Linked DNA regions of Nothobranchius furzeri. The protein of the gene in region 1 interacts with the protein of each later gene in a biochemical or structural test. Links are inferred from orthologs where the notes say so. Each region holds a gene or a part of one and is shown on either strand. Other genes may lie near its edges.

What was found.
Region 2: the proteins of tjp2a (region 1) and ctnna1 form a complex in vitro, tested with the Homo sapiens proteins (2 studies listed by BioGRID and IntAct, with this or other methods). The link is inferred for Nothobranchius furzeri from reciprocal best matches to the Homo sapiens genes TJP2 and CTNNA1.
Region 3: the proteins of tjp2a (region 1) and cgnb form a complex in vitro, tested with the Homo sapiens proteins (2 studies listed by BioGRID and IntAct, with this or other methods). The link is inferred for Nothobranchius furzeri from reciprocal best matches to the Homo sapiens genes TJP2 and CGN.

The regions. Positions count from the first base shown.
Region 1 is NC_091746.1:73,933,128-73,936,782, forward strand, and holds part of tjp2a (tight junction protein ZO-2a), read right to left. Parts: intron 702-3,655; coding exon 572-701; intron 1-571. UniProt on the Homo sapiens protein: Plays a role in tight junctions and adherens junctions. Acts as a positive regulator of RANKL-induced osteoclast differentiation, potentially via mediating downstream transcriptional activity.
Region 2 is NC_091748.1:78,693,636-78,697,839, forward strand, and holds the start of ctnna1 (catenin alpha-1), read right to left. Parts: upstream 2,896-4,204; coding exon 172-2,895; 3' UTR 1-171. UniProt on the Homo sapiens protein: Associates with the cytoplasmic domain of a variety of cadherins. The association of catenins to cadherins produces a complex which is linked to the actin filament network, and which seems to be of primary importance for cadherins cell-adhesion properties.
Region 3 is NC_091759.1:4,162,544-4,164,890, forward strand, and holds part of cgnb (cingulin), read left to right. Parts: intron 1-48; coding exon 49-219; intron 220-1,192; coding exon 1,193-1,354; intron 1,355-1,438; coding exon 1,439-1,528; intron 1,529-1,625; coding exon 1,626-1,709; intron 1,710-1,787; coding exon 1,788-1,906; intron 1,907-2,347. UniProt on the Homo sapiens protein: Probably plays a role in the formation and regulation of the tight junction (TJ) paracellular permeability barrier.

The DNA.
Region 1 (3,655 bases):
AAGACAAAAAAAAAGCAGAAAAAAATCAATTAGAGGACAAATACAAGCAACATGAAAATAAAAATGAACTTCTTAGGAATCTAATTAAAATGCGTATTTTATCAGTTTGGAGGAATGTAAGCGTCTTAAAGTTATCTCCATCTGATTTAATACACTCTGGTATGGTCTTCCCTCAAACTAGCCGTTAGCTCGTTAGTCCTGATGGATGTGAACCATTTCTCTGAGCAGAGGCCCTTCAGAAAGCCTTCTACAATGGGTAAAATAAGAATTTACAAATTTTAAACAGAAACACACTTAAGTGTAAGAACATCCCTTTATTATAGATCATTGAAACTGCCATAGTAGATTTCTTGTAGGAGCAGCTCAACTCCCACATGAGAAATCCTCTCCGAGTCTCCCAACTGAGATTGTTCTGACTTCTGTTCCTTTACCAACATCTTTAAGTGAAGTCCGTTGGATGGATCGTACCCGGAGACAACTGAACTGAAACCCTGACCCATGTTCTCACAGAACCAAATGATTCTCCATTCCTTCCCTCTCATCAATAATAAACATCAGAGAAGTGTCCTACCATAGTGATGGCTGAGAAACTTCTTGAAGAGAGGCGGTGAAGATACAAGTAATGGGTCTCTCTGGACCAGCAGAACTTACGGCCAGACTTCAGTAGGTCAGTACTGGTCGGGTCGGAGCAACCCTGGTCCCTGTGGATGGAAGGAAAACACATTAATTTTTTACACAGATCTGGGACAAAAAAGTGACAGGTCATCAGCCCAAAAGGTGAAACCGAGCAGAAAACCCTGTTCTTCAGTGGGAGTTTCAGCTTCTCTAGGCTGACCGGTGTAGTTTATGATATCGTGTACTGCAAGGCTGCAAAACTGACCAAATGTTGCTAACAATCACATAAACAATGTAATCTAGGACTAGGCGATAACTCAAAAATGTATCCATCGGTCATTTCTAACCAAAACCATTTTTCCCCATGTCAATTAATTCGATAGTAAAAAAAATAAATAAAAATAAATAAATAAAAGAATAGATGCGTGTAAGTTGGTGAAGTTCATGTCCCTTTAACTAGCTGGACCATCTCCAGTCACATGACAACGTAACTCTACGTAATACCCGTGACGGCCCCATCTAGTGCTTTTGTGCATGTAGTTATTGTTTATTTACGTTAGAGTTTAACTCGATATGTCGTGATATTTATTTTAGGCCACATCGCCCAGACTTAATTTAATCCACTTGATGTTCATTTGTTCATGTGTTTCTCTCACCAAATAGAATATTTACTAAGAAATACACACACTTTGTGTGTGTGTGTGTGTGTGTGTGTGTGGTGTGTGTGTTTGTGTGTGTGTGTGTGTGCGTTCTTGTACATACTACATTCTGAGAACCATTTTGAACACTCTCCCTACAATGTGAGGACATTTTTTGGGTCCTCATTTTTTTTAGAAGCTTACTATATCAGTTAGAGGTCTGGTGTGAATGGGTTAGGAACAGATCAGCATTGGTTATGGTATGGGTTAGGCATGGTGAAATCACAAAAAAAAGAATCAAAGTCAATGGGGGGATTACGATAGAAAGACAGATGCGTGCGTGCGTGCGTGCGTGTGTGTGTGTGTGTGCGTGCATGCGCGTGTGTATGCGTGTGTATGTCTGCATGTGTGTGTGTGTATTCTTCCCAGTGAGTGGTGGAGGATGGCTGCTTATACTGAGCCAGGATCCTCTGGAGGTTTCTTCCTGTTAAAAGGGAGTTTTCCTCTCCACTGTCGCTGCATGCTTGCTTAGTATGAGGATTGCTGTATAGTCACTGACACTAGTCAGTGACTTGATGCAACCTGCTGGGTTCCTTACATAGGAAACTTTTTACTGATTGGCTTAATGACCTGACCTGTGTTGGAATGTTTACTGTGTGAAGGTCCTTGAGACGACTCTTGTTGTGATTTGGCGCTTTATAAATAAACTTGAATTGATTTGAATTGTAAGGATGAAAAACTCAAAGTGAACACGAATCTTAATGTGGCAAGGTGGAGAAACGAGGGCCCAGGCGGGATTCGATCCCCAGACTCCCGGGTGAGAGTCATGCATGCTAACCAGTCAGCCAAAGGGACATCCCCTTGGCAAGTAGCCAGGGCGCAGGATCAGTCGGGATACTGTGACAGGACGCTCACACGGTCACATTAATAAGCAATCTATTGTATTTGATGCTTTTATTTTGATAAGGTACACAACACACATGTTTTTGACTGAAGAGGAAACACAAATCCTTCTTTCACCCATAACTCACATCCTGGTCGTATTGCGAGTCATGTAGGTCCATCCTTTTCTCAAAACGCAACTAAACATTATAACCAACAGATTATCGCTTCCAGCACCAATTTCTCCACATTACTCCCTCAAAAGTTAATCCCACCAAGTGTGCTGTGATCTTCACATTTTAAACTTTTAAGAGGAGGTGATGAATGTTTAAAGGGAACATCTCTGCTGGCGTGTTGTTAAACCCAACAGAAAGTCTGCACACTCACATGGGATTCACCAGGCAGAAAGGTCCATTTTTAGATGCTCTAAAAAGGCTTGAACCTTCTAGACCAGAGACATGATTTTTACACTCAAAATCACATTTATTTCACATCTGAGACATGTTTCTCCCTCATGCTCGACTGCAAAGAGCCCAGACCCGCACAAAGACACTACAGATCATAATCTGCAGCCTCCCTGACCCGATCACTTGCAGCATGTGCAGACATGAGTAAAACACATTCTCAGCCAAACTGGCAGCTTTAATGTCGCCCTCCTCCTGGTGTCTTTGGTAACCAGCCTGAACTGTGATGAAGAAAATGCTACGGAAATTTAAAATAAGACAGGAGATGATTACTTAATCCCAGCTAGAGTCGTTTCTGCGTTAAAGAAGAAACGTTTTCTTGGGTAAAAAATGCAACGTTGATGTTTAACTCCCTGAATAACGCGAGCCCCGATGCTTCCTGTGATGATTAGCTTCTAGCCCCAGCAGCCAGCTGAGGATGAAACCTGTGAGTGTGACCTTCCTTCCAACACGATGTAGACAGACTGTTTTGTGATTAATTCACTATTGAATTCTTACTTATTGCTCCTTTAAGTTTTCACATGCAACAGAAAGATCTTTAAAGAGCAAGTCACCCTCAAATCAACTTTTTTTCCTGATAAACTATATAAATGCGTGTCTAGTCGTGATGCAGACACGTGTAGTCAATAGTTTTGCACTTTAGTGCATTTTAGTTAAAATTTAAATGTTCTGCCTAAAACTGGCAGTGTTGTGCCATTGTCAGGTAAAAACTCTGCACTAAACTTGAATTTAAATTTGCCATCGCTATTGGCTAAGAGGTACCCTAGAACGTTAGCTGGTACCATATGATGTCACAATGTCAATGTGAGCCTGTGTGTGTGTATTTGTTAGCAGCTCCGCCCTCTCGGTCTGCTAGGCAACAGCATTTGTTGCATTTTTCAAACAGGAAGTGGGAGTGGAGTAATACTCTGGTAGGGGGTGACTTAGTCTTTAAAGCCACATTTATCTTACAAGTAAGGATTGAACTGGTAAGAAAATTTGGGCCAATATTGATCAATACTGCCATCGACAACGTATAATTCCTTTTATAGCACATATCTTTCCAGACAACTTGGA
Region 2 (4,204 bases), on another chromosome or scaffold:
ATCTGCTCTTTCCTCTCGTCTACGTTACGGAAAGGTTCGGCTGCTCGCCCCTCTGGCTGCCGTTTCTACCGAGGTCGATGCTAAGATTAAAGCTAATCTGAAGAACTGGTCCAACCAATAAAGCTCCCTCAATCCTAAACTCCTGGATTAAGAACGTGCGTTCTCCTCCAGCTAGATGCTCTCCATGGCTTTGAACTCGCTCAGAGCCTGCACAGGGTTCACGTGCTTCTTCTGAGAAGACCTCTTGACCTTGTTGGTCTGCCCGTCGTCCTGCTTCTCTCTCTTAACCAGAGGCTTCTTCTCGGGAGCTTTCATCTTCCAGGAGATGGCCGGCATGTTGAGGGACTCCATGGCCTTGGTCTTCTGGTATTTGGTGGAAGCCACGTAAGATGCCTTCACTGTGGACACCACGGCGTTCATCAGGTTCTTTGCAGCCTGAATCAGAGACATGGCGCTGTCCAGCCCAGAGACGACCAGTTCTCCTCCCAGGTTCTGGACCTCCGCTTTGACTTTGCTGCAGATGTTGAGCTGATGGCAATACAAGGAGATACGCTGCAGGTAGGCCAGCAGGTCCTGCTTGCAGGATGAGTCGGGACAATTGTCGGCAATGGTGCGGCCCAGTTTGTCCATTCTTGATCCGGTCTCGGCTATTTTTTTGGCAGCACTGATGACATCAGACGTGTTCTTCAGTGGCCCCTTTCCCCTGGTGAAGTCCGTCATCTCCATCATGATCATGCACATCTGCTTGGCTAACACGATGATGTCATTGCCGCTGTCATCCCACTTGGACACCTCTGCGTCCAGCTTGCTCTTCTCCTCCTGGAAGCTAGCCACCTGTTCAGCGATCTTTGCTTTCTGCTCCTGCGGCAGCTGAGCCATGATGGCGCGTGCGCTTTGGCCCTCAATGCGCTGGTCGTCCTCGGTCTGCACGCTGGTTTTGCTGCGTGTGTCAAAGTCTTCGGTCTCAAAGTCTGAATCGTCCAGTTCTTCTGGAGTTCTGATCATGAGGATAGCCTTGCGTATGTCCCGAATGCCGTCGTACACCAGACGAGACGCATCGATGAACTCGTTCTCGTCCACAGGCTGAGAGGGGTTTGTGCTTAGGGCCTCAACCGCAGACTCGATTTGTTCGGTGAACCGTGGCATGACCGTGTTGGTCAGGAGCTTGGTGGCCTCCAGAACCTTCTCCGTGTAGACCCCCGGTTCATAGTTGTCCATCTCAGAAGTGACAACATGAACGACTCTGGCGGCCCGGCCTCGAATAGCGCCGGCGGTGCGATCCAGACCGTCAACATCCTTCTCTTGAAGCGCGATGACACACTTATTCACGTCCTCTAGGATGTGGTTCTCAGACACACAAAGGAAGTCATCGATTGATGTTATGTCATCAACAGCATCAGTGAGGACACGGACCTGCTTCTCCCACTGATCTTTGAATGCGTCCATGTTGTCCTGGGCCACCTTACTGTGGGGCTTGGCAGCAAGGGCCAGCGCTGCGTTGATCACCTGGGGGCACAGGGTTTCCAGCTGGGATGCTGCCATGCGCACCAGTTTAACCCCCTCTTCATTATTGGAAATGGAGCACGCCAGGTTGGCTACCTCGATCAGCTTGTTGGCGTGTTCGCGAAAGACTTGAGCGTATTCCTTTACTTCCTTTTCGTTGCCATTCTTCGCGGCTTCGATCAGGACCAGGAGGGGGACGTTTGTCTCCAGGAACGAGTCCGAGACGTGGTCCATGACAGCTTTACGGAGCTGCCTGCGGAGGTCTCTGGTCTTCTTCGTCATCCTGTCGATGGCTGTGTTCAGAGCGTCGCTCCTCTCCTTCCTCCCCGCATTCCCCATGTACTCTGACAGGAGGTCCTGCAGAGCCTGGCGCACTGAGTTGCATTCAGCAACAATGCGCTCCCTGCGGTCATCGCGTGTGCAGGAAGAGTCAGCCATGAGTGCAGCTCCGCTGATGATGCTCTCCAGGCGCTCCTCGAGAGAAGGACGAAAGCGCTCCTCGCTGAATGCCAAGGGGTCCACAATGATTTGTTTATCAAAATTGTTGAGGGCATAAGCCAGCTCTCCGGCCCCTCCCGGCTGGCTCAGCGCCGAGTCTTCGGTGCTCGTGGCCTGGGCAGCGTTGGAGATTCCTGAGACCGCATGCTGGAGCTGCTTGTAGATCAGGTCACGGTTAGCCTTGTAGGCCGCCACATCAGGATGCTGCAGGCAGGCACAGGTCGCTTTGTAGAGCAAGGGGACGTTCCTTTGGAGCAATCCACGTGCAGCAGCCATTTGGTCCTTGTGCTGGACGTCCTTTAGCTCCTGCTGCCTCTTAGCAGCCATGTGGTTCAGCTTGTCCACCTCTGGGATCAAAGCCTTATACTGGATCCCCAAATCCTGCTCTGTTCCAGCGCCGCACACTTTAGCCATGCCATCTTCAACCAGCTTAAGCTGCACCAGGAGTTTGTAGACATCAGACATGTCTGCCAGGACCAGCAGATGTGTAACCGCTGAGAGGAGGGCCCTGGCGGCACGGACCATGGTGCCCCTCTTCACAGAGGAGCAGGGGTCTTCAACAAACTCTCCAGAAGCCTGGCGCATGGAATTACCTTGGTTACGGACATCCTCCACAGCCTCGGTCAGCTCTTCCTTGAGGAACTGACTTTCTTCTGCAATCTTTTCTCCTTTTTCTAGGAAGTTCTGGGTGGCCTTCTCCACTGAAGCAGCCAAAACATGAGCCTTCTTGGAGCGTCCCTTCTTCTTGTTAGATGGACCTTTGTTGCTGGAGTTGACCAGAGTGGTGACCTGGGCGACAAGCGGCTGAAGGAGCTTCTCCACTGCCAGAGTCCGGATCTCCAGACTCTTGGGGTCCCATTTAAAGTTGATGTTGGGAGTGTTGACGCTCGTCATCGTGTGGTTTTTACACAATCCGCTGAAGACGAACCGGAGTGCAAAAGTTCAAAATGGAGAACGTCCGGAATCCTCTCCTGAAAAGTTTTCCTCTCTTCTCGGGCTCCGTGTGACGTAGCTCTCGACTTTTGGCTGGCTTTGCTTCTTTTCGGGGGGAAAAAACAACCTCCACGCTTCAAAACAATAAGCGCCTGTGTAAAGTCTTCTGAGCGGTACCGAGGGAATAGTTTCGGTGTGAACCGTTTCGGTGAGGCAGACTCTCGCCCAACAATGGCTAAAGTGGAGTGGAGGAGGGGTGGGGGCAGGGCGGTGACCGAGTTTCCCAACTTCCTGGCAGCGGAGCGGGGCGGCGACAGGCTGCAGCAGGCCCGGAAGCCTGTTGGGAACCTTGTTTGGAACATTTCTGTTGGAACTGGGTGTGTCCGACTCCAGAGCCTGAATGCCCGAGAGTACGTGTCCTTGCTCGACCGATAAGACCGGCGGTCGGACGGTCTGGCCTCCCCCTCCACTGCAGCCTGTAGGTCCCGTTACCTAGCAACCGTGGCGGCAGCTAACAGCTAAAGCTAGCGATAATAGAGCAGCCCCCCCTCCCAGCAGCTTTACCTTCACCAGGTTTGTTCCTCAGGCTGGTGAACAACCTGGGTGAAGTCATCTAGTTTAGTCTACAAGCCTTCAGGACTTCCATGTTGACGTTAGTTTCAGGATGGTTGGTGGGTAAAGGCCACTAGAGTATTAAAATGTGGATAATTATGAACTATATACATTTTAACTACAGCAGGACCTGCTCTCATGTGGTTTTTACAACTCCTTAATCTGTTTTAAAGTGGGTGTAAAAGCTTTAAAAACAGACTTAAGTTGACAGTGGCATTAGATCTTTCCTAAATCTGTGAACCATCTGTAGTTTTTATTATACCCTGCTTTCTTTTAACAGAAAATAACTGTTGTTCTGCCGTGTAACATTCAGAAAGGGTCCACTTTGACCACATAGTGACCGGTCACTGAGACATCATTAAATACGCAGTAGTTCCGCTGTAAAGTGACACTACAGCAGGTTATGTTTTAAATTTAACAATAAAAACTATTTTCTCCCCGTTAATACATGTCAGCATGCACCATCCTGCACATTTCCCTCAGCGCTGGTGACATTGTGGCCTTGGAGGATGAGCGAGCGATGCTGTAGGTGAGAGGCTGGTATGGAGGCAGTCAGCGGTCCAACCCACGACTTCTGTTAACTTATTTATGTAGGAATCCATGAAAAGAACATGCTGCCCTTTTAATTAAGAGTCACAATTGTTTTACTGGTGAATCC
Region 3 (2,347 bases), on another chromosome or scaffold:
ATGCTGCGTATACACATGTAGAAGCGCTTTCACTCCTCTCTTCTTCAGATGGAGGTGATGATGGGAGACTCGCGTCAGTCGGTGGCCACCCTGCAGACCCAGCTGGAGGACTTCAGGGAGCGATCGAGGAAGGACCTGCTGGAGGCGCAGAGGAACAACAAGGACAGGCTGGCTGAGCTGCAGAGGGCTCAGAATAACCTGAAGGCCCAGCAGGAGGAGGTGGGATTAAAATATCGCAAAGTTTCATCCAGCTCTGACCTTCAGCTCTTGCTGGGTAGGTTCGCGGCTGAGTGTGAAGCGGCTGGGATGAGAATCAGCACCTCCAAATCTGAGACCATGGTCCTCGACCGGAAAAGGGTGGCTTGCCAACTCCGGGTCGGGGGAGAGGTCCTACCTCAAGTGGAGGAGTTTAAGTATCTCGGGGTCTTGTTCACGAGTGAGGGTAGGAGGGATCGGGAGATCGACAGGCGGATTGGTTCGGCGTCTGCAGTGATGCGGACGCTGAGCCGATCTGTCGTGGTGAAGAGGGAGCTGAGCCAGAAAGCCAGGCTCTCGATTTACCGGTCGATCTACGTCCCAATCCTCACCTATGGTCATGAGCTTTGGGTAATGACCGAAAGAACGAGATCGCGGATACAAGCGGCCGAAATGAGTTTCCTCTGTAGGGTGGCTGGGCTCAGCCTTAGAGATAGGGTGAGGAGCTCAGACATTCGGGAGGGACTCGGAGTAGAACCGCTGCTCCTCCGGATCGAAAGGAGTCAGTTGAGGTGGTTTGGGCATCTGGTCAGGTTGCCTCCTGGACGCCTCCCTGGGGAGGTGTTTCAGGCATGTCCTGCCAGCAGGAGGCCCCCGGGTCGACCCAGGACACGTTGGAGAGGTTACATCTCCAATCTGGTCCGGGAACGCCTTGGGGTCCTGCCAGAGTAGCAGGTGGAGGTGGCTGGGGTGAGGATGGCCTGGAGCTCCCTAGTTGGGATGCTGCCCCCGCGACCCAGACCCGGATAAGCGGAGGAAGACGACGACAAAGTGCATGTTTAGAGGAGCTTTACTAGTCTTAGAAGAAAATATAAATAAAAAATAAACGCAGCTTGCCACCACGTTGCATCATCTTTCTCATCAACCTCCAAGCATTTCAGATCTGACAAGTTTGTTTGGAAAGATGAGATATCTTCATTTTTATACTAATTTTTAGGTTTCCCGTCTGAAGAAGGAGCTGCTGACGTGCAGTGAGGAGAGAGACAGCGCTCAGCTGGAAAGAGACCTCCTCAACAACCGTCTGAAGCACCTAGAGGGCGAGCTGGAGTCAGAAAAGAGCTCACACACCGACCGCAGCCGCGAGATCAGATCCCTGGAGGTGAGGCTTCTCGGGTCAAAGGTCACGACTAGGGAGATGGCTGGAACAGTTTCTAGTTGATAAAAATTCTGTTTGTGTTTGCAGGATAAAGTTAAAACTCTGGAGTTGGAGGTGGACGAGGAGAGGAGCAGCGTGGAGCTACTGAATGATCGCATAAGCCGAACCAGAGATCAGGTGCAGCATCAGGATATTTGAATACGAATGCAAATCATATGGAGGCACGCAGATCTGAAAGACTTACTGAAAACGTTCCTTTTTCTTTCTTTTGCAGGTGGATCAGCTGCGATCTGAGCTGATGCAGGAGCGCTCGGTCAGACACGACCTGGAGATGGACAAGAGCGCTCTGGAGCGACAGGTACGTCGTCCCAGCAACAGGGAAACGAGATTCCGGTAAGGTCGTTTAATAATGTCCGCGCCGCGCTTCGTCTCACAGGTGAAAGAGTTAAAGTCCCGCGTCGCCGACATGGAGGGACAGACTCGACCGTCGGCTGCAATCACGCTGCTGGAAAACAAGATTCAGGAGCTGGAGGAGCGGCTGCGCAGCGAGGAGCGGTAACGGGAGTTTCTCTAAATCGCACAAAACAAATGTGAACTCAAATGTTTAGAAAAATTTACCAAAACAAGAATTAGTTGGTGAAATTAGTTTGATAAAGGCATGAAAACATGAAAAATCACATCTTCAAATTTTTATCTTAATTAACTAATTCTGCTACAGTTGGCTCTGGAGTGGCGAAATGAAGGTTGCCAACAAATATTCAAGAATAATTATTGATGACATAACTTAAGGTTTGGCAACCCACAGAGGGGTCCCAAGTCCTACTTTTGGGAAACGGTAACTTAACAAGCACCAGGAAGTAAAAGAGAAAAGGAAAAAAAAAAAGAGTAACAAAAAAGGAAACAAAAAGAATTTTTTTAAAAAAGAGAGAAAAGGAAAAAAGAAGTGAGAATAAAAAAAGAAAAGGGGGGAAAAACAAGTCCCAGTTTAATATTTCA